Linked DNA regions of Drosophila melanogaster. The protein of the gene in region 3 purifies or fractionates together with the protein of the main gene of each other region. This does not show direct contact. Each region holds a gene or a part of one and is shown on either strand. Other genes may lie near its edges.

Region 1 (7,336 bases), about 19 Mb from region 3:
AGGGGTGGAACAACGTCGATTTTGTCAGACACTATCGCTGACTGCTATTTCGCAACTATCGATTACGATACCCAGGGCTACAGCCCGATGTCCTAATAACGAAATCGGAATTGGAATTTGAAATATGATTCGATGATGATAGGGTCACATAAATGTAAGAACAAATTATTGCATTTCTGTCAGGCGTAATACTTGGTCATTTGGAAAACAATTATTTGTGTTTCATATATTATTTTTTTTCCTCGCTCGGGACGACTTTTCTTTGATTTGTTGTTTAATTGCAGGTCATACTTAAGCTAACGCAACTTACAATCCATTGTAAGGTATCTAAAGTTGATTTTTAGATCCGTTTATTCATAATGTGGAATCGCTTGTATTTTCACAATTTTCAGACGGGAGGGATAAACCAGATATTGAAAGGATGATGTTTTCTTCACATTCGGAAAAGCATATATCCACCCCAATTTATTACTAAAATTAAATATTCATTGCCATTTGAAATGATATTAATATAATATTAATAATAATTTTATTTTCGATATACAAGTTTATAGAATTTATTAAAGCTAGTAAGCTGGATTGGTAACGATATCGATAAGAGTGACCGATCTGGTCACACCGGCAGTGCGTATGCATCGCAGCAGGAAAATTTGCGTTTGGCGCGCACAATTCGTGGCAATGCTCACCACATTTACGGACATCGCGCGCCTGCGCAGGAGTTGCCTCCATCACAACACACACCTATGTTTGGTTCGCAGGATTAGGTTTTTTTTAAATTCGTTTATTTGACATATTACATTTAGCTAAGAACAAAAATAAAAAACAGAAAAACAGTTGGATGGCATATTCAGTATGTGTCGCACGTTTCAAGGCACCTTTGAGCAGCATTATTACCGTCTTGCTGGTCGAGTCGGCAACGCCAACTTCAGCTCCTTGGAGTGCAGGGCGTTGGACATCACCGTGCGATCTTTGGTTTGACACCGTCTTTGCCCTTACTCGGTTCTTCATAGCTAAAGAGGCCATTAGGGATGGTCTGTTGGCTAGCATCAGTTCTTGCGGTGCATTTGGCATGCGAATTCTCCTCCTCCGGCAGCCTCACGCGCAGCTTTAGTTGGAGATCCTTCAATCTGGCAAATGTGTTCTTCATTGCCAGATTAATGCTCCTCACCCCGTTGTATAATATATCTCCCATCTCCTCGATTTCTAGAAAAGGGGGCCTTGCTGGTTGGGCTCTGTTTGGGGGGGAGGTCACTTATAATGGCCCCTTGGGGGTGCCATCGTTTGGCTTATAGGGTGGGGTCCTTAGAACCTTGGACTGCAAGGTGTGCGGCCCTATACCATTCGCCAGGTGATGGTTACGGTGCTGGCCGATGAGGCTCAGACACAAACCATTCCGCCGGCCACCTTGGCTCAGACGCAAAATGGGTTTTTATTATGCTGCTGCCCGGCTGGTCAAGAGAGCAAGCGCAGCGTCATGGACTTAAGGGTTGGGTGTGAAGGGTGAAGTTCCGACGGGGGACTCATAAGCGGAGGGGTTGGCTATTGGTCTGCTCCGTGATTTTTACACTATTACTGTGTGTTAGAGACAGTCACTCCTGTCTCTATTTAGCTGCCGCGACACGGAAAATTTTCGGGTTTTCCAGGAGCGTTAACTCGATTCGCCCGGCTACTCGCGCGCGTCCCCAGTGCTCTGATTACACAGGATTAGGTTTTTTTTTTTTTAATTCGTCTATTGAACATTTAAGATTAAGATTAACAGATTAACAATGTAAAAGTAAGGAGGGCAAATCCAGGACCCCCCGCGGTATGGCCGTGAAGCATTGCTTCGCGAGGACGATCAGGATTTGCAATGCAAAACAAGATTTTTTCGCATGGTGCCAATTGATCAAAAATAATATAGATTTAAAGTCTAAGAACTTCTGAGGTGAAGGGCATATTTTGTCAAATTTACAATGCATGAACATACGTGTGCACACATACAGTTGTCTGCTATTCGCTGTAGCGCTCTCCGCTCTCTCGCTCTCTAACAAAAATTCGAGAGAGCCTGGAGCCACCTCTAGAGCCACGGCCAAAAAATCGTGTGCCAAAAAATCGTATGGCGTTACGCATCTTGTTATTCTAGTGTCTTTGCATAAACCAAATCATAGAATGCCTTAGGATATAAGTCATAAATTCAAGTATCCCATAAGAACCCCAATTCTGGTGACAATAAAAAATCCAGCCTGCCCTAATGTAAACATTAACATCCGCTGCCGAATTCGCTATTCCCACCAAAGGGTCAAAACCGCTAACGCAGCTGAAGTTCTCGGCTGATCAGTACCCATGCGCGATCCACTCAAGAGGGCACCCAATCCACCAGACATAAACATCCGCAGCCGCATTCACGACTCCCACCAAAGGGTCAAAACCGCTTACGAAGCTCAAATCCTTGGCTTATCCCAGCATCCATGCACGATCCACTCAATTCATAGAAATACATAAGAGGAGCCCTCTTTAGCTTAACACATAAAGAAGTAAATTTCAGTCAAGGGTTTGCTAAGCATTCGCTTTGCAACTTACAATTAAATTTAATTCTTTCACTCTACGAATAAGACCTGAATTGTCTCCGCTTCCACACTTTTAATTTTATTTGAATAAATTACAATTCCAATAAATTAATATCATATATATTTTTATATTGTTTTGAAATTCTTACTCGTTTGCCTCTGACTAGGATATTTTCCACATGAACCGCGGTTAACGACCAAAATGGGCAATTCAGGATGACAACTGTTTGTAATTTTTGGTATATTTATATTTATATTTATTTATATTGGGTGATGACTGTAAAATCCTCAGGGCATCCTAGGTTGGGTGGGTGCGCATGTATGTTCATTTGCAATTAATGCTTTTGATTACCTTTTTTTGTTCCTTTGATTATTTGAGATCTTAGGTGTGCAGAGTGGTGAGACGTCGATAGTTATCGATATTTCTATTGCGAGCTGTGTGGTAAGCCTGAGCTAGAGGCACTGCAATAACGAAGGATAAGCAGTTCGTAACAAATTATTGCATTACTGTCAGCCGTAATACTTGGTCATATTTGGAAAACAATTATTTGTTTTTCATATATTATATATATATATATATATATTATTATATTATTATTTTTAGATTTGTTGTTTAATTCACGTTAAGAATCCGTTTTAAGGTCTCTAAAGTTGCTTTTCGATCCGTTCATTTAAATTGTGTAATTTTCAGGCGGGTTTTATTTATAAATAGAGAGGGACCAGATATTGAAAGGATGAAATAAACTGTAATACCGGAAACATCTTACTAGATGCATTCTTCGCATTGGGAAATGTTAATATCCACCCTAATTTATGACTAAGATTAAAAATGCATTGCGATTTCTAATAATATTAATGTAGTATTAATATTTTCGATATACAAGCTTATAGAATTTTTTAAAGCCTATAAGCTGGATTGGTAACGATATCGATAAGAGTGATCGATCAACGGCAGCGCAACAGGTGTCGCCCTCTGGTAACACTGGCGGTGCGTGTGCATCACAGCAGGAAAATTTAAGAGGCGGAAAAAAGAACTGGATTTCCACGTAGAACGTTGCCTTTAACGCGCACGATTCGTGGCGATGTTCACCACATTTACGGACCTCGCGCGCCTGTGCAGGATTTGCCTGCGTCATCTGCGCGACCGCGACACCCACTGTCCCGATCCGCGACTCATCGCGATTCTGCAAAAGTTGCTGGACATCGACATATTGAAGCAGCCGCATGGATTTCCCACTGAGATCTGCAACCTGTGCCACAACGCGGTGGTCTACTTTGACGAGCTGCGCCAAGTGGCAAGGGAATCCAGCCAGAAGCTTATCGGATGGCAGCCAGTGGACATCGCGGTCGACAGGGTGGATATATATGTCCTTTTCGGCTTGTTAAACCTGGATTAATACTTTCTTAGTTCTTTCCTAGGTGAAGGAGGAGCCGCCGGACGAAGGACTCAAGGAAAACCATGAGGAAAATGAGCATGAACTGGAGGAAGAGCATGAAAAGCAGGCGGATGGGCAGCAGGTAGATCTGTCGAAGAAGCAGGAGGATCAGAAGAAGATTCTTGACGACCGGGAGGATGAGGAGTATCCAGATGAGTACGAGAACAGCCAGCAACAGCTTAGCCAAGGCACTGGTAGTAAACGACGCGCTGGCTTGGCCTGCGATCAGTGCGGCAAGCAGGTGTACAAGCTACCGTACTTGGAGGCCCACATCCGCAGCGTCCATCAGGGCTACTCGAAACCCTTCTTGTGCCGCAGCTGCGACAAGTCCTTCACTCGATATGAGCAGCTGCGCTCCCACATGCGCAACGCCCATCCACAGCTGGAGCAACTGCAGCAGGAGCTGCGCGACCTAATCTGCGAGCTGTGCAACCGGCAGTACAGCACAAAGAATGCCTTGGGCGAGCATTTAAAGCGTCATGCCCAGCGCAAGGAGCACGTGTGCGAGCACTGTGGAGTGGCCAAGGTGACCCGAACGGAGCTACTGACCCACCTGCGCACCCACAATCCCACCTGGGAGCGCTTCAAGTGCGAGCAGTGTCCGCAGCTCTTTCGCCACAAGAGCGCCATTAGCCGGCATGTTCGGGTGGTCCACGAGGGTCAGCGGCGGTTCCAGTGCGGTCATTGCGAGAAAAAGTTTGGCACGCATGCCTCGCAGGTGCGGCACGAGCGGCTGCACACGGAATCCACGGGCTCGGGAGAGGCAGCCGAGGAATGGCCCTTTGCCTGTATTCACTGCCAGAAGCCTTGCGTTTCGCGACAAACCCTTGAGTTGCACCTACGAAGGCACCGCGCGAGAAAGACGCACAGAAAACGAAGGGAGCACAGTCGGGAGAGTCAGGAGCAGGAGCAGGAGCACGACCGCGATCAGGAGCAGGGCGCTCGGGAAGCTCAACAGGATCAGCTCCGCAAGGGGGAAAAGCTACGGCAGAGAGATCTCTCCAGGGAAAGCCACCGAAATGAGGTGACCATGCAGACAAGCCAGCGGCCAAATGAGTGTCAACAAGGTCAAGAGTCCTACGATCCGGAACCGGATCCGCTGGAGGCAAGTCAGTGCAAGCTAGAGCAGGAAGATGCACTCGATCCGGAATGGCAGCACAAAATAGAGCAGGACGCAGAATCGCAAGACTCGGCGCGACTGGAAGGGCATTTCCATGACTACAAACCTATCCCTTCGAAAGCCTTATGATCAACTATAACCTATCCATATACGTCCGGTTACATACATCAGGTTAGCGCCCCTTGAGCAAAAATCTTTGATTTGAGATATTTAGAAAACTGTTAAAGCTAGAGTTTTGAAAATTGCTTTTCATTCAAACGTTGAACAATTCTATAAATGTAAAATTTATATAGGATGCAGTTTCTTGTTTATAGATTTTTATTTAAGTAAAAAAAAAATCCATAAATGGGTTAATTAAAATTGGGTTATCAGGATAACGCCCCCTAAGATAATTTAAGTTGGTTCGATTCATTTCGAAAGAAATTGGGATGATTAACACTTAAATATTTAAATTAGAATATTTTTAAAGGAAATTATGGACTTCACACATTCGTCTGGAAAGGGAATCATATATTTTTTTTGTAGGTAATCCAAAGTAATCGCAGACCAATCGAGTTTTATTCCGGTGAACGATTCGTTTTGAGTGGCATATTGTTTACCACCCTCGTATACCTTCCTAGCCAACCATACCCACACGTTATCTATTATATAGTAGTAGTATGGTGGTAGTAGTATGGAATCCATGTTTTTGCCAAACGTGCAGTGTGGATTGAGACACTGTCAATTTGAAAATGTCATTCTAAATTTCCAAAAACGTTTCTAAAGTAGGGAAATGCAGTTTTGAATTATAATCTTTTGCGTTCATTTTTGGTGTTTAAAACTGCAATTTACCTATAACCCGACTGTGACAGCGATCCAAAATGTACGCAAATCATAATAGTAATGAAAAAAGCCGTCTGGTTTCTCCAGATTAAATTTCTTCTTGTCCGAAAATACGACGCCACTCCTTAGACCAAGTCAAATGAGCTCGAGCAAAACTCAGACCCGCTTTTTTTCGCAACTTATTGAGAGGTGGTTTTATTTTCAGTTTTTCGTGTTTTATGTTTAGCTGTCTTAATCACCATTTGAATCAAAGATTTGATCTGGTTTTCAACACTTTTTCTCGAATTTTGGCGGAGAAGTCGTGGGAATTGGGAGGTATTCGAAGTATGGACCTGCGATCTGCCGCGGTAAAGACAAGGTTATTGCCACCATTATTTTTTTTTTCCATAAGTTTCGTTCTTTTGAATAAAGTTTATTATAGGGTTGCGACATCTGGCGGGTTTTCTGAAATTTTATGATTATGAGCATTAATAGAATGCTATGATATTGTATATTTCCTGCAGGGATAACAGGGTTCCTCTTAAAGCAAACTTTTCAATTCAACAGCATAACAAATTTTGTTGTCCTTACCTTAGGACCTTTTTTTTATCCTCAAGGAGAGAGGGAATGTCAGTGAACAAAAAACAACAACATTGATGAATTTTCGTGCAATGGCAAAACCAGAAAATAAAAATGAACGGAGCCATGCAGGGGGCGCTAATCTGATGACGCGTAGTGTATATCCAATGAACTATCATGCAAATGTGGCTAGGACGCATTAGCGAAAATTTTTAAATATCTTACTTTCACGACATTTTATCCTTGCTACTACAATGTATTAAATAGTTTTATATGTTCGCTTACTTCGTATTTTATACGTTTTATATGCTCGCTTACTCCATATTTTAAGTGCCTAATAAAACTGTTGACGATAATTGCTTTTCATGGAAGGACTTTTGTGACAACATTTTGGATATACTCTTTTTTTAAAGTGTATTTGTCAAGTGTAAAATTTTGTGTCACAAAAGGTAAATTCCGATATTCGTTTTTTGAAGGTGCGATAGTCATTAGTTTTTTCCTCGTAGATGTCAATCAGCAAAAAGCGCACTTTATAATTTAAAACTTACAGTGTATTTAAATTTATTATTATTTAGTCTAAACTAAAAAATATCGATACTTCCAAAAGCTCCCGTCGCTGGGAATATTTGCTGTTCTGCGCACGGCCACACTGAAACGGAATGTACATAAACAAGGCCGAAATTCGATCGGAAAGCACTTGCTGAATAAACGCCAGCTGATAAACACAAAGATGTCGGCCATATCGGGACGCGCCCTGCACTATGTGTTCAAAATCGGAGATCGGGCGAAAAACGCCTTCTTCTTTCGGCAAATCTTGGGAATGACGGTAAGCTGGGTGTGGCGGGCGTATCGCC
Region 2 (7,042 bases), on a different chromosome or scaffold from region 3:
AAGAGTAAAACTTCAGCTGGATATTACTAGTATATTTGTTCAAGTTTAATGTGAATTTGTATTACAAACACAACGCAAACAATAAACAACTACTGGTGTGGTGTACATTCGTTTTAAAATTAAACACTAGGTACTAGTCCGCTGAAACGGAATTTATTTTTAAAACATTTACATTTACAGTAGGCTTCAATTTACATTAGATCAGAATGAGAGTTTTTGATTCAAGAATGTACGCGATTGAAGGACCTGGCCGCCCGCACGTGTGCGCTATCTTACAGGCTATTCTAAAGTACATATTAACAGCTAATACATACAGTACGAACCCTAAGCATAAGTGTAGTTGGACGCTCTACTCAAGGACACAGCCCATTCCATTGTGTTCAATCATGGTCTACCGAGAATCAAATATGTCTTGAGTGTCTGGCCAGCAGGATGCAGGGATGCCTCCAACGCGGGGTCTCATGGCCCTGTCTGGTGTTCACAGATGCTACAGAATTTCTACATGTCAAAGTCCTCCAGGCCGAGGAACTCCCTTTCTAGAGCGGCGCCCATCATGTTCCATTCGCCGTCGTCCTCGTCCTCCGGTTCCTTCTCGCTGTTGGACTCGGATCCAAGCTCCAGGTCGGAAGGCAGGTCTTCCCCTGGAACATTGATGCAAATATTAAAAGGTTAACACAAGTTTTGTGCGGACGGGCTACCTCGCCTAAACTTGGCGCTGGGCATCTCATCGTCATCGTCCTCCTTCTCGTTATTGTCATCGGCCTCCTCGTTCGAGCTAATGTCCACCTCCACGAGGTTTGGCGCTCCAATCATTATATCATCGCTTCGCGTGAAAAAGTCGTGAGCTCTGTTGGAATTATCATCTTCGCGCTTTCTCTTCAACAGCTTCTTGTCCATTGGTGGATTTTCTTGAGTTATTAAAGACGTATTCGATTAAACGTGGATACAGACACATGGATTAATAAGTAAAATACCTACCAAAATTTACAGGACCCTCGTCGCTGGACGAGTCTGACTCGAAGAATGTTTCGTAGTCCTTATTCATAGACTCGATATCTGCGTTGGTGAAGACCAGCAGCGGATTCAGCGTTTCGCGGAAGTTGCCGCTCTGCTCCTCCTGCTGCTTGCTGCTCGAGGGTGAGATCTCCGAACGCTCGCTGTAGTTAACCACGTGCTCGGGACTATGGCAATGGGCGGGTGGCTGGCGACCCTTGTTGCGTACCTTGCGGTCCAGTGGAAAGAGCTTCTCCTCCACGTGCTCCCAGCGCTCGGCGCAGGTCCACAACCAATTCGCATTGACCACTTTAATGGCAGGCTCTTTTTTGGCGGCGTTAACCTTGTAGGTGCCTGCGTTGACCGCCACTAGATGCGTTATCTCCTTGTCAATATTGGGCTTCACTTCGGCGCCCAGGCTCTTGGCTATGAAATACGCCCGCGACTGCTCGAGCTTCATCTGCGTGGGCACCAGGCCGGAGAACACCAGGTTCTTGCCGCGCAGCACTTCGCTCCGAATCTTCGGAACGATAACCTTTAGATCGGGTATTTCCGTGGTTTCGTCGTAAATAGAGTAGAATCGCTTGTGAATGTTACGAAGTATGACCTCTAGATACAGCAGGTAATCGTCGGGGTCTTCAATCTCTATCTGCTTTTGCCCCTCGAGCGGTGCTCGTAAGCTGGGCGTCTTAGACGTGGTGGCCACATCAGCGTCAGCAGACGGGCGCTTCTCATCCGGCGAAGTGGTGGATGAGGCTACAACCTCATTCTTTTCTGCCGGTGTGGGGGGCACCTCGGCTTTTGTGCTCTCCTTGGAATTATCATCAATAACTACTACGTCTTCGCCATCGCTGGCTGCTTTTTCAGCATCTGGTGAGCCAGATGAGCTGTCGTCTATGACCACAATATCCTCAGCATTAGTCTTGCCATTCAATTTGTCTCTCGGCTCTTTGGGTGCTTCTGTAGCGCTTGAGGCGTTGGAAACCTCTGGATCCTTGGCATCGCCCTCTATTTCGAACACGTCTACTGACTCCTCGTTTACATCGTCATCTTTGCTTGTGCTTGTGACGGTATTATCACCCTTATCGGTGTCTTCTGGTTTGACTTCGCTGCTGGATTCCGTCTTATCTTTGTCCCCATGCTTCTCGGTAATCTCTGCAACAAATGGAAATATCGTTAGAAACATTCAAGTCAGCTTGCTGGAACACCCAACCCACCTTTAAAGTCAACGCCTTCGCCATCCAGTTCATGCTTAGACAAACCCGGCGGGGCATTGATGTCACCAGTGTGTTGAAAGAAGTGGTAGGGCTTAACCTGAATCAAATTTGAAGCCATGTTCCACACATCCTCGCGATCGTCAATGATGCACACCATGGAATCGCCATTCGGAAACAGAGCCCTGTAATATACAATTTGTAGATTATTGTTTAACACGTTTAACAAGTGAAAATCCAAACAGCTTTCAGGTATAGAAACGCACTTTAAATTGTCCGTCTTGCTGGTGGCGTTGAAACACTCGTCTCTGGACAGAATCCTGTGCGAGAAGAACTTGCCCTCCGGGTCCAGCAGCTGGGCAATCATGTGCGCGTAGTTACGCGCACCAAAAGTGCAAATGTGCAGTTCGTACAGCTGGGACATGCGCTCCAGAAACTCGGCGGTGCCGGGGCGCAGGCGCGTGTGGTACCACGGGGAATGTGGGCCGTACAGCTGGAAGTGGTAGATGCCCTTGATGTTGTCCGGCACAGTGTCGTTGGTGGTGTGGATCACCGTCTGATCGAGATCGACAAGCAGGACCAGCTTCCTATCCGCCAGCAGGCGGCGGGTGTCGTCGTGCCCGAGCTTCTGGGCCAGCTTCTGGGTGACCTTAAGATCGGGCATGGTGTGCACCATTGGCACCGAGGCCTCGGAGGTCTGTCCCTGCGGGTTAAATGTTTAATTATTCTATATGCCCCTTGAGGTGGGTGGCAATGTGCACTCACATTCTCGTTCTGACGCAAGTCGGCTCCGCAGTCCGCGCACATGTCCTTGATGACCGTGGTGTGTATGCACTCGGACAGCTCCAGAATGGCATCCCTAAAGAACAGGCTCGGTTAGTGTGTATACGGCTGCATAATTGCATTCCCCCACGCCCAATCGCCGCCCGATTGCAACCCCCAAACTCACCCCTTCGTAAGAAGCTCCCCTTCCTTGCGAAGGCGCTTCTTCACCACTCCGGCGCGCTGGGACTTGTACCTCTGGATGGCACAGTCCCCGCCCGGCTTTCCCGCGTCCTTCGCGTCCTTCGCGTCCACGCCCACGGGCTGGTAAAGAAACAAGATTTGGGCCGCCGACACGAATTGTCCCTCGCGAACCCGCCATTTATTGATTACCGCTCTCGCCTCGTTCTCTCCCAGCGCAGCTCTCAAAACAATGATGCCGCCACCGCTGGTGTTGTTGTTGCTGTTGCCGCTGGCGCTGTTCTTGGCTCCGCTTCCTCCGCCGCCATCGTCGCCTTCGGCAGCTCCAGATGCGGCCACGCCCCCTGGCGCGCGGCTGGGCGTCGCGCCCTCCTCGTCCGGTATGTTCTGCATCGCAAGGCTTACGTTTTTATATACAAACGATTTGTTTAAATCCCAGTGCCTTGTTGTGTTTGCAATTTGTGTGAATATTGCGCGGAATTCGCATAAGAGCGCGGACAACTTTTGTAACTGCTCTCAAACAGCTGACTGAGCGCGAAAGGCGGAAAGTACTGATGGGGGTTTCACTTCGATTTGGTTAGTTAATGTGCGTAATTAACCATTAATTGGTAATTCAATTTATTTTACTCGTTTCTTTTAGTTTTGAGTTAAAATACAGGATATTCGTCCAAAGATATCGCAGAATCATTTGAATCAGCTGCTTTTGACCGTTAACCAACACTGTTTAATCGGCGGCAAACTAGTTCAGTCGTATTTTGTTTATTAACTTCCAAAATGAGTGATAAAACCAAGGAAGACCTGAAGCGCAGTGCCCCGGAGGAGGAGAATGAGCCCCAGGAGGAATCTGTGTCATCCGAAAAAGAGGCGGAAGGCGAGGAAGACGCCTGGATTGGACCCATGCCTTCAGAGCAGAGCGCTCCCGCGCCCGCCAAGAAAAAGAAGGGTTATTATTAAGAATTAGATTTCATTTAACTATAACTAATCAATAAATAGTCCTGCCCTATGAACACATCTACCTGGAAAACCTGCCCAATGCTGAGAGCTACGAGAGGAGCTACATGCACCGCGATGTGATCACTCATTTGGTGTGCACGAAGACGGATTTCGTAGTGACCGCCAGTCTGGATGGACACATCAAATTCTGGAAGAAGGGCGAGCTGGGCATCGAGTTCGTCAAGCACTTTCGCAGCCACCTAGGTGGGTTCTTGATCCACATAACGTGTATTTCTTCGTTTAACCAAGTGTTTGTTGCAGTACCCATCAAATCACTGACCACCAACGACAGCGGCACGCTGCTCTGCTCGGCGGCCACGGATCAGACAGCCAAGGTCTTCGATGTTGTCAACTTCGACATGATCAACATCATTCGATTGGGCTACACACCGCAGTGCAGTGAGTGGATAAATGGGCCGGGAGATGCCGTACAAGCACTGGCCATGTAAGTACCTTATCAATATCTGGAGATTAATGATTCTGATTGCTCCTCCTCCAGCTCGGATTCAGAGAGTAGCCGCATACACATCTACGACGGGCAAGGAGGCGGAGAAGCCCTTCACACCTTGGAGAAACTTCACTCGGCGCCCGTGGTGGCGATGTGCTTGAATGTGGCCATGGAGACCGTCATTTCTGTCGATCGCAATGGCATTCTCGAATACTGGCAAAACTCGAAGTACGACTACAAGTTTCCACAGCGTCTGGTGAATTTTGACTCCAAGCTAGACACAAGTATAGATCGATGATTAAGCTGAGTGAACCTAGACTCATCTAAATATTAACCTTTTAGGCCTCTTTGAGTTTGCCAAACAGAAGACCCAAGTCACGGGTTTAGCCGCCACGCCGGATGGAAAGCGTTTTGCCGCCATTTCCACAGATCGTAAGGTCCGCGTCTTTCAGTTCAACACGGGCAAGTTGATCCGGGTATTCGATGAAGCTCTATCTACATACACCCAAATGCAGCAGACGAAGCACGCCCTGCCCAACATGGAGTTTGGCAGAAGGTAAACTAGAATAAAATAGTTATTATTTATTGGTTTAAAGATATGAATTCCAGAATGGCGGCTGAGCGGGATCTGGAGAAGACTGCCCAGAATGCAACCCTTAATATTTTGTTCGACAGCACTGGCAACTTCTTGCTCTACCCAACGATGTTGGGCATCAAGGTGATCAATGTGGTAACGAATCGCTGCGTCACAATTCTAGGAAAAACCGACAACATACGGCCCCTCCAGGTGGCCTTGTTTCAAGGAAGAATTAAGCGCCAAAAAGCTGCTATAACAATGGAGCAAGAGGCCAGTGAAAACCCAGCACTCCAGAATATCCTTAACGATCCAACAGCCTTTTGCACTGCTTACAAGTTAGTTCATACCGTTTTGAATTATATCTATGCTGTATTATAATGTCCATTCTACTACTCTTATTAGAAAAAGTCGCTTCTATTTGTACAGCCGAAGACTGCCCTCGGATCTGCAGGATGTCGACCGCGATATTTTCAACGAGAAGCCCTCGAAGGAGGACATTATCGCCGTGCCGGAAGCTTCAGGTATTTTGGTTTGGCTTATCCCATTAACCTTTCTTAACTAACCCAAAACATGTTTCTATTGCACGCCAACAATATTTTAAGACGAAGGTTATTCCTATCAGATATTTCAAGAACAATTCATTACAAAATGTTCCTTCTATTCTAGTCGTGCAACGCATCTACGAGAACGTGGTGCTCCACACCACGAAAGGCGATATCCACATGAGGCTGTTCTTCAAGGAGGTTCCAAAGACGGTTGAGAACTTCTGTGTTCATGCGAAAAATGGGTATTATATATACGTCAACTGTTGAGAACTGTCCCATTGCAATCACATTATTTTGTCAGGTACTACAATGGACACATATTCCATCGCGTGATCAAGGGCTTCATGGTGCAGACTGGCGATCCCACGGGAACGGGCACGGGCGGCAAATCCATTTGGGGAAGCGATTTCAAAGACGAGTTCGTGCCGAGCCTGAAACACGATCGGCCCTACACGGTCAGCATGGCTAACGCGGGTCCAAACACGAATGGAAGCCAGTTCTTTATCACAGTCCTGCCCACGGTAAGGATGAATGCAGCGGTGATTAGTTTACTTTACTGGATTGACTAAGTACCAATCTCTAATTGCAGCCCTGGCTCGACAACAAGCACACGGTGTTCGGAAGAGTTTACCGCGGCATGGAGGTGGTTCTCAACATTTGCAATTCCAAGGCGAATCCCAAGACGGACAAGCCCTACGACGACATTAAAATTATTTCGATACACTTAAGTAATTGAGCAGAGGGCTAAAATAAAACTTTCAGCGACACTGGTTTTCAAATCTTCGGAGAACCGCCAATGCGCCGCAAAGAATTTTGGTATTTTTTTTTAACTCGGTTTTTTTGGTGTTTTCCCAGCCCGGCACACTAAACAGCTGATTCGTTTCTTGCATTCGGTGTTCCTTTTGTTTCGATAGTGCAATTAATATAAATTGGGACAACTGCAAATCTAATAGTATTATTAGAACCGGAATTAGTTGTGCACCTTCTAGTATTAGAGACTTATTAACATAACCAACCTGTGCCTACCGGAAATATAGAGGTACTTCTCGCAAATTATGCGGGTTCTTGCAAGATAATACGATACCATTTGTTTATGGCTGAGTAAAAAAAAAACAAAGAACTCCAGGCTGACGAGTCATTTGTGCGTATCGGCACTGAATCTGCTCCAGATTCGAAAACTAGGTTTATTTACATTTGCATGCAAAGGTATATTGTCTTCGATATGTGAATTGTAGTATACGTACATAGTTGCCTTTATTTCCAGACATGAGCTAGGCCAAATATAACCGCTCGCCATGTCCAATATGGA
Region 3 (8,089 bases):
AAGTCCACAGGTAGTGGGCAGTTGTTATAGACGTTGAAGTCCCGTGTGCTCGGCTCGTTAAATCGCACAGTCCCGAAATCGATGACCGTCTTCTCGACATTGATCTGTGGCTGGTTGTCGTTCTCCCGCTTGTCCACTGCCTTCAGCACCTCCTCCTGCACCCGTTTGTACTTGACCTCATCGCGAGTCTTGACCTTGACCTGGAACACGGCGTACACGGGCTTGTGATCGCTCTGCCGAATCTCCATGATGCTGTTGTAGGCCAGCTGCTCGATGCGCGTGCCCTTCCAGAGCACTCGATCGCAGTAGGCCGGCGCCCGCTGCTTCTCGCTGCTGTCGTAGTTGTCCGTGCCCGGATCATACTTGTACGTCGGCCGGAACTTGATCTCGCCCTCGGTGTAGCCCTCAAAGCACTTTCCACGCCGCATCTCCTGACGTAGCTGGTCGTACTGCAGTAGCAGCTCGTATGTCTGGGCATCGCTCAGTGGTCCTGGTCGCTGTTGGCCGGGCGGCTCCTGGATGCGGTAATTCAAATCGCCGACCCAGAAGATGTGACTAGAAAAAGACAGAGATGGAGTGAAATAATACTGACTTATACTTATGCCTTCTTCCCCAAACTTACTCATGGTCACTGATTGTTCGGCCATCATCGAAGCGTATGCCCTCCACGATAGCGTTGTAGTCCTGATTCCGCTCCTCCACGTAGCCCATGTGGGCGGCCAGGTGGGAGTTCACAAAGCAGATGTTGCCCTCGTTGAGCTGCAGGCTAATGGCGACACCGCCCTTGTTGCCTAGCGTATTGAAGATGCCGCGGGCCACCGACTTTGGTCGGCAGCGTATGATGTGCTGCCGCAGCTGCTTGCGCACGATGACCGTCAGCATGGTGGCCACCAGGCGGTGCGACATCAGGATTTCGTACTCTACGTCAGGGTGGACGCTGTCCATCATCTTATCGCTGCGGGAGAAAGAACCAACTTAGACTCTCGGTAACGAGGCTATATAACTTATGTGGCACACTCACATCCATTGCTTCTCGATGGCCTGCACCTGGGTGGAGTTCAACATAGCCTTTGTGGGAGTATCTAGCTCCTGCAGTCCAATCGCGTAGATATCCGGCGGCTTCTCACTGCAAGCCAGCCAGGCTCGCAGTGGATTGTTGCTGTCGCTGCAGGTCTTGTTGTTCACATTCCAAGTGGCGCAGTAGATGCTGCAAGGATTGAATAAATGTGCGTGAGAACTCTTGCTTGACAGGGCATTTTCCATCTCACATTATGTCCTTGTAGACAATGTACTCGCTCTCCCGCTTCTTCAGCTCCTGCTTCACTTCTCCGATTTGCCGGTAGTCATTCAGCCACCTGAAGTTAAGCACCGTCTCGGGATCATGCTGCGCCATGGTGCTCTTGAAGGAAATCACCTTGGCCACAAACTCCTCGTAGTGGTGGCTCTCCGTGGCGTAGTAGTAGTACTTGATGGGGCCATCCTCGGCTGTGGACAGGTCAAACTGTTGCGTGGTGATCGAGCTCTTGCTGTCTGCAAAAAATTTGGAAAATGATATATGAAAAAGAGCGAGCTTTCACTAATTAGTTTGCTTTCATCTCAGCTGAAACTATTTGAGATACCAATATTATCATAAGTAAATGCAGTCGTAATCTGTTATGGCCAATAATGAGCGCAAACTTATTGGTTTTGTGACTACTTGACAAACAGTTACTGGGCAATTTGTTTGGCTAGCATAGTCAAGCTGTGTGATGAACATGCACCCTTCATCTCACCCTGTCGCAACTGGAAATTGTGGTCGATTGCGAACACCTTGTTGATGATCAGCTCGTTCGCGGAGGACAATGGAGTGCGCAAGTAGGAGAACGCGATGATGGCAAACGTGCCGCCCGACTGCGATGAAACCAGGGCCAGAAGACGGTTGGAGTACTCTGGTCCTTTGATCTGATACGCCTCGAATATCTATAAGCAAAGGATTGTTTAATAGCAGCCGTTTTAGGTTTTTTTCTGAGCGAAGACGTGAGTGTGATTTAGGCGTAAGGTTACTTGTTAGCGATAATTAATCATCATTTTAGTGTATTTAGCATGTTTCCTGCTAATATTCGTCATTATACTTTAAAAGTCAATCATGATTGACCAACACTCCTTTCTAAACCTTCGCCTGCTTTGATTCGCCAGATCTGATGATTGCTTACGTATTCTATGGTCTCGTCCTCCTTGAAGCGCTCCTTGACAATGTCCTTGGTCGTCCTGGTGGCCGCAGTCGCGGTTCCATTGGCCACTGCCTCGCTCAACGTGTCCATTTGTCTCCGGATTCTGAGTACTGATAGGGTTTTCGAGTGCGCTTCGCTTTCCCCGCCAAGTCGGATTCTCCTCCGCCGCCTGTTTGCGAAGAGATGGCTGCGCTAATCGCTGAATGAAGGGCAGTACTTGAGGGGTTTTTCTTCTGCGTCGATAAATGTGCGTGTAGATATGGATATGGGCTGTATGGACAGTTTGCTTGTTTGCGTCGTTGCTCTTTTCTATTTATAGTTGGCGCGAACGCCCAGTGACTTGTCTTCGTCTGCTGCGGGGTCGCCTGCGAATGGGAATTCTTCGGGTCTTCGCTGGACTGGGAGCTGGCTGCTTGGTTTCTGGTGGCGAGGGCGTCACTGCAACTGGCCGGGGGGTGACCCTGCTCTTGGGCAGCGCGACCGTGGCGGAAGAGCAGTTGAGTTGTGGAATCGTGTTCAGTGCTTATCGCAGCCGTTTGTTTGTTTTCTCGCTTGCTGTGTTGTTGTTGTTGTTGCCTCCATCAAGGTGGGTGTATCGCACACACACGCACACGCACACACTCGCGCCCAGGGGCACTTATTCATCGGCAATGCGATGACAATTATTGGCAATCCAGCGCGATCTTACTAGGCTCGGCCGGCTGATGGGGCGCGGGAGAGGTGGGTGTTAGTACACACAGCACAGACAGAGTGGCACGCGTGCTAATTACCGCGCTGCGATCATTATTTATTTCCAATTATTTTCCGGGCGACTCTTGTAGCCGTTTTCGCGGTGTGACCAGTGTGGCAATGCTACGAAATGCGGCGTTCGAGCGAGTCCAATCAGAATTGGTTGGCGACCCGACTAAGCGTGTGACCAGCCTGCAAGTGCCATTACATACCGCATACCGCGTGCCGCAATCGCTCCAGTGGCCAGCAAACGAGTTGAATTTTTGGGGAAACTACTGGGTTGCAACGCGAGAAGATGGCCCAATTCGAGAAGGAGATCGTTCAGGCGGTGCTGATCGCCGACAACAATGTGTGGAACTTCAAGCCCCTCTCCGACGAGGGCTCTACGGTGAGTGAGCGCCACTGGAATAGGTGAATATCCATTGACTGTCGACCGTTGGATTCTTTGCAGGCCCTGCTGCCGCTGGTCAACGTGCGGATGCTTGACTACGCTCTCATGGCGCTGAACCGCAGCGGCGTGGAGGAGGTGTTCGTGTACACCAGCCTCTATCGCTCGAGCATCCGGGAGCACATCAGGTGGGTTCAGTTGCGGCAGCTGGCAGGATGATGCAATTATGGGTGCTAAACGCTCGATTCGCGTTTTTTGCAGGGCCGGCATTGCCACGGACGCAGCCTGGTCATTCAAGATGACCGTCCATGTGATTGGCGGCGAGGGTTGTCGCTGCTTCGGCGATGCCATGCGTGATTTGGACAATAAGGCGCTGATCCGTGGCCACTTCATTCTGCTCGGCGCCGATACGGTGACCAATGCCGATCTGCGCCCAGTGCTGGAGCAGCACAAGCGGCAGGCCAAGTTCGACAAGGGCACGGCCGCCACGCTGGTGTTCAAGGAGTGTGCCAACAATGTGCGCACTGGCAACGAGGTGCTGATCGCCGTGGACCGTCGCAACGACCGGCTGCACTACCACCAGCGGCTGCGGATGCACCACAAGGAGAATCGCTACCAACTACCACTAGATGTCTTTCTGGGCAACTCGTGTGTGGCGCTGCACCACAACCTCCTAGATCCGCAGATTGCCATTGGCTCGCCCTCAATGCTGTCCCTGTTCAACGACAACTTTGACTTTCAGACGCGTGATGACTTCGTCAGGGGTTTGTTGATAAACGAGGAACTGCTGGACAGCAGGATATATGTGGCACTGCTCCCGGCAGCCCAGTACGCGCACAAGGTGAACAACTGGCCGGCCTACCAGCTGGTTAGTCGGGACATTATCAACCGGTGGGCCTACCCCTTCGTTCCGGACATAGGCCTTTACAAGCTGCAGCAGGAGTACGTCTTCCACAAGGACAACATCTACAAGAGCCCCGAGGCGCATGTCTCGAAAGTGGCTTTGCTCCAGAACGTGGTCATCGAAGCGGGCAGTCACGTAGACAGTGGCTCAGTGATTAGTGACAGCGTGATTGGCGCCAATTGCCGGATCGGCAAGAACTGTCGACTGACCAATGCGTTCCTCATGGCCGACGTCACCGTAATGGACAACTGCAGACTGGAGCACTGCGTGGTGGGCGAAGGAGCCATCATCAACGAGGATTGCGACGTGAGCGCGGGCTGTGTGCTCGGTGCTAAAAGCGTGCTGCCTGCCAAGAAAACGCTGGCGAAGACCCTTATCACCAGAACGCCCAGCAGACGGCGTAGCGATGATGAGGTGGTAGTGGAGCTGAAGTCCATCGGTCCGCATGCCTATATTGTCAGCGATTTGACGACGGGTGATCCCGAGGACTCGGAGTGCGAGGACTTGTTGCCACAGCAGCCGCTCAGTATACCCAAAATGGGAGACTTGCTGGCGCCGCTGGACGAGATCAGTTACTGCAGCGATTTTAGCGAGGACGACGAGGATGCCTCGCGAGCGGTAACGCCACTGCCCGATGACACAAACAGTGAGTGTTGTCCACAAGTGCAGTTGAAAGTCATTCTAATCATGTTTACCAATTGCCAATTCTAGTTTTCCTGGGCGAAGTCATCGATTCCTTGACACGGGGCTTCCGGGAGAAGTCCAACCCTGACTTCCTTGTCCTAGAAATCAACTCCTCGCGCTATGCGTACAACATGTCCCTCAAAGAAGTCAACTTCAACGTGGTGAAGGCCGTTTTTGGCATGCAGAGCATCGTGGAACCGGCCAACGACAACGTACTAGTGGCCATAAACGCAGCCTTTAAACAACTGGGCCCTGTGGTATCCAACTACATTAAGAGCGAGGATTCCATGATGGATTGTCTCAAGGCGCTGGAGGTGAAGTCCCCATAATTTTCACACAAACCCACACCCACTTTACCAATCCCTTTTCCCGCAGGATGTGTACGAGGAGAATCATCTAGTGCGGGGGAAGATCTCGCAGATCGTGCACTATCTGTACGACAAGGACTTTGTGTCCGAGAGTGCCATTCAGGCGTGGTACGCGCAGTTGGACGAGGAGGAGCATGCACACCTGCGCCAAAGCCTCGCCAAGCTCGTGGCTTGGTTGGATCAATCCAGCGAAGAAGATGATGACGAGGAGGACGATGACTAAGCAAAGTCGTAGCCCTTATTCTTTATTCCCATTTGTTTAAGTCATTTCCTTGCTCATTCTAAGGAAATGGAAAATTAATGTAAGGTCGCTCGAAAATTCACATCGACATATTTTGGCCAAATTTCGACTTTGCGTCCGAAATCTGCTAGTTTTTTGGCCACAACGTCGGAAATAATTGGCGAAAGATGAAGTGTGATGCATCGTTGAGCTTGTAATTAAAATCCAAATCGACTGACATTCAAGCCTGAACATTTTTATTTTTTCACATTTCTCGCAAAAAATGTTCCACTTAGAAAAATTCAAAATTTGTAAAAAAAAATATTTTCTTGTTTATTGAAGACTTGCTATAAATTTGTTATTAAACTTTCTTACAAAGTCAATGCAATATTTAAAAAAGTGTAATAGTACCAATGCTTTTTGAATTTTTAAAAACCCTTTCCTGGTATTTAAAAAAAAAAACGATAGTCAGTCAGAAAGCTATGCGGATTATTTTGTTAAATTTCCTATTGCAGCGTATTATTGAAAACTTTTCACGAAAACTTTTACCTAAGCTAAAGTCCAGGAGGCCGGCGTAGAAAAGAGACTAAAGATGCGGGTATTGGACATCGATTAGTCCTCTACAGATCCTTATCGTACACAAACTCCTCTTCCTCCTCTTCTTCCATGATCAGGCCGACCATGTCGTCCTCCTCGGTCTCGGCGGCCGATTGAAACTCCTCATCGGATTCCTTCATCGACTCAATGGTGATCTGCGTGTCCTCGGTCACAGCCGGATTGAGTGACTGCTCCTCCGGGTCCAGGTGCTGCTCCTCCAGTTCCAGGTGGTGCTCCTCCAGGTCCAGGTGCTGCTCCTCCGGGTCCAGGTGCTGCTCCTCCAGGTCCAGGTGATGCTCCTCCGGGTCCAGGTGCTGCTCCTCCAGATCGAGGTGCTGCTCCTCGGTGTCCTGATCCTCGTCTTGTCGCTGCTGGCTCGCATACCCTGCGTTTTCCGACCCGCCAGATTCCAGTTTCTCTTCCTTCTCTGTGTCTGTGTCCATGGGATGGCTACTGTGGTCCATCTTGTCAACTTCGCTGTTCTCCTTCCCTTCAACCTGCTTTGGACTGCCTTTCGCTTTTGTCTTGGAGGTATCTGCGGCGGGCTCCTCATCTGCCCCATGCTTGTGATCCTGCACATGGTCCTCATCGGTCTCGTCCTCGGATTTCAGCGATTTAATATCGTCGTCGCCATCCGCCACGCGACTCAAGCTCTTCTCCTCCAAGCGTCTGCTGATGTCCATGGCTATGTACTCCAGCCGCCCCTGGACACTCATCTGGAACACCTCGCGGTTTTCGCTGCAGATTAGATTGCTGCGCACTTCCTCGAGGCAGCCTTCGAGCACCTCGTTAACCTCGCTCACTTCGCAGTCGCCGCCGAGATTCTGGGTCACGATCAACAGCGTGGTCAGGTCCTTCAGCAGCTTTATCATCCGCGTATTCTTCACCATGCCCTTGTTGATGTCGTCGACCGTCTGTGACGCCTTGGCGCGGCACTCTTCGCGCAAATATGTCGGCGAAATCATGGCCTGGACATTGGGATTGCGTGTCAGGCTGGAGGACAGCTCCTGCACCTTGGTGAGCTCGAACATGAGCTCGGCGTTGATGCGCTCGATGGTCACGATGTTGAAGGCATACTGGCGCTGGAAGTTGACTGCAATCTGTCGGCGATGGCGATCCCCATTCTCGTCATGGCTTATCATATCGCCCATGGCCAGCTCGGCGGTGCCGTTCATCTTGTTGAGCCGCTGGATTCGATCCGCCTTAACTGCAATGTACTTCTCCAGGCGCACCAGGTGCTCCAACAGCGAGGTGGAGTAGCCGCGATTTCTCGTCAACTGCTGCCGAATGGGACTCACGCCCACCGAATCCTGTCCCAGCAGCGGATCACTCTTGTTCAGCTTCATGCTGAGCGCATTTCGTGCAGCCGCATTATTGGTGGCCAGGTGCTTCTGTGGCTTGAAGTAGAGTGATCCCGCTCCAGCTGCCGCTCCTGCACCGCCGTCTATTTTTTCCTTCTTCTGCAGATAGTTGTTGGTAAGATTTGCCGTGAAGCCCAGATTGGTGGTGAAGCCGAGGTTATTCGTTTGATAGATGCTCATCAAGTTCGGCCGGAAATCCTTCGTGAAGCTGTGCAGAGGCAGCATCTCGTGAAAGTTCTCCGACACAATCTCGTAGTCGGGGATGGCGTGTGTGCCCAAGCCGATTCGTTCGAAGGTCACTCGGTACATGGCGTTTAGTGAGTCGTAGGCGGCCACAGTGCCCGCAAAGATCCCGTCCTGGGGAGATCTTAATCTGGCAGTGACCTTGGTGCCCAGCGGCAGTGTCATCGGTATTTTCTCAGGCATGTCCGATAGCATGGAAACGGAGTCCTTGAACTCGCCTGGCTTCCGCGATTGCAGGGTCCGGATCACCTGACGCTTTCGGTCCAACTCCTTGCGCTCCTCGCTGAAAAATTTGGCGGAGCATCGCCGCGGCCTGCCCATCCTCCGCCTAATATTCACCCACTCGTGGCGAATGAGGCTCCGTGTGCCCAGCCTGGGTGCCAGT

The links.
Region 1: the proteins of eIF2Bepsilon (region 3) and CG1529 purify together in Drosophila melanogaster (affinity purification with mass spectrometry, with the first as the bait; one large-scale study listed by BioGRID). This does not show direct contact.
Region 2: the proteins of eIF2Bepsilon (region 3) and CG3511 purify together in Drosophila melanogaster (affinity purification with mass spectrometry, with the first as the bait; one large-scale study listed by BioGRID). This does not show direct contact.

The regions. Positions count from the first base shown.
Region 1 is NC_004354.4:21,028,152-21,035,487, reverse strand, and holds CG1529 (uncharacterized protein), read left to right. Parts: upstream 1-3,537; 5' UTR 3,538-3,628; coding exon 3,629-3,901; intron 3,902-3,954; exon of another isoform or gene 3,955-3,965; coding exon 3,966-5,231; 3' UTR 5,232-6,836; downstream 6,837-7,336. Other genes in the region: CG1532 (uncharacterized protein), read left to right, coding at 7,213-7,308.
Region 2 is NT_033778.4:24,567,962-24,575,003, forward strand, and holds CG3511 (uncharacterized protein), read left to right. Parts: upstream 1-3,665; 5' UTR 3,666-3,746; exon of another isoform or gene 3,747-3,810; 5' UTR 3,811-3,944; coding exon 3,945-4,113; intron 4,114-4,163; coding exon 4,164-4,367; intron 4,368-4,424; coding exon 4,425-4,608; intron 4,609-4,662; coding exon 4,663-4,895; intron 4,896-4,953; coding exon 4,954-5,167; intron 5,168-5,220; coding exon 5,221-5,523; intron 5,524-5,590; coding exon 5,591-5,709; intron 5,710-5,854; coding exon 5,855-5,975; intron 5,976-6,034; coding exon 6,035-6,254; intron 6,255-6,322; coding exon 6,323-6,469; 3' UTR 6,470-6,542; downstream 6,543-7,042. Other genes in the region: Fcp1 (TFIIF-interacting CTD phosphatase), read right to left, coding at 499-641, 699-908, 979-2,148, 2,211-2,392, 2,474-2,910, 2,973-3,066, 3,157-3,563; Start1, read left to right, coding at 7,029-7,042.
Region 3 is NC_004354.4:1,917,969-1,926,057, reverse strand, and holds eIF2Bepsilon (eukaryotic translation initiation factor 2B subunit epsilon), read left to right. Parts: upstream 1-3,183; 5' UTR 3,184-3,234; coding exon 3,235-3,327; intron 3,328-3,390; coding exon 3,391-3,515; intron 3,516-3,588; coding exon 3,589-4,877; intron 4,878-4,942; coding exon 4,943-5,229; intron 5,230-5,290; coding exon 5,291-5,506; 3' UTR 5,507-5,892; downstream 5,893-8,089. Other genes in the region: Ocrl (oculocerebrorenal syndrome of lowe), read right to left, coding at 1-555, 623-955, 1,022-1,207, 1,269-1,530, 1,773-1,959, 2,193-2,300; mip130 (Myb-interacting protein 130), read right to left, coding at 6,124-8,089.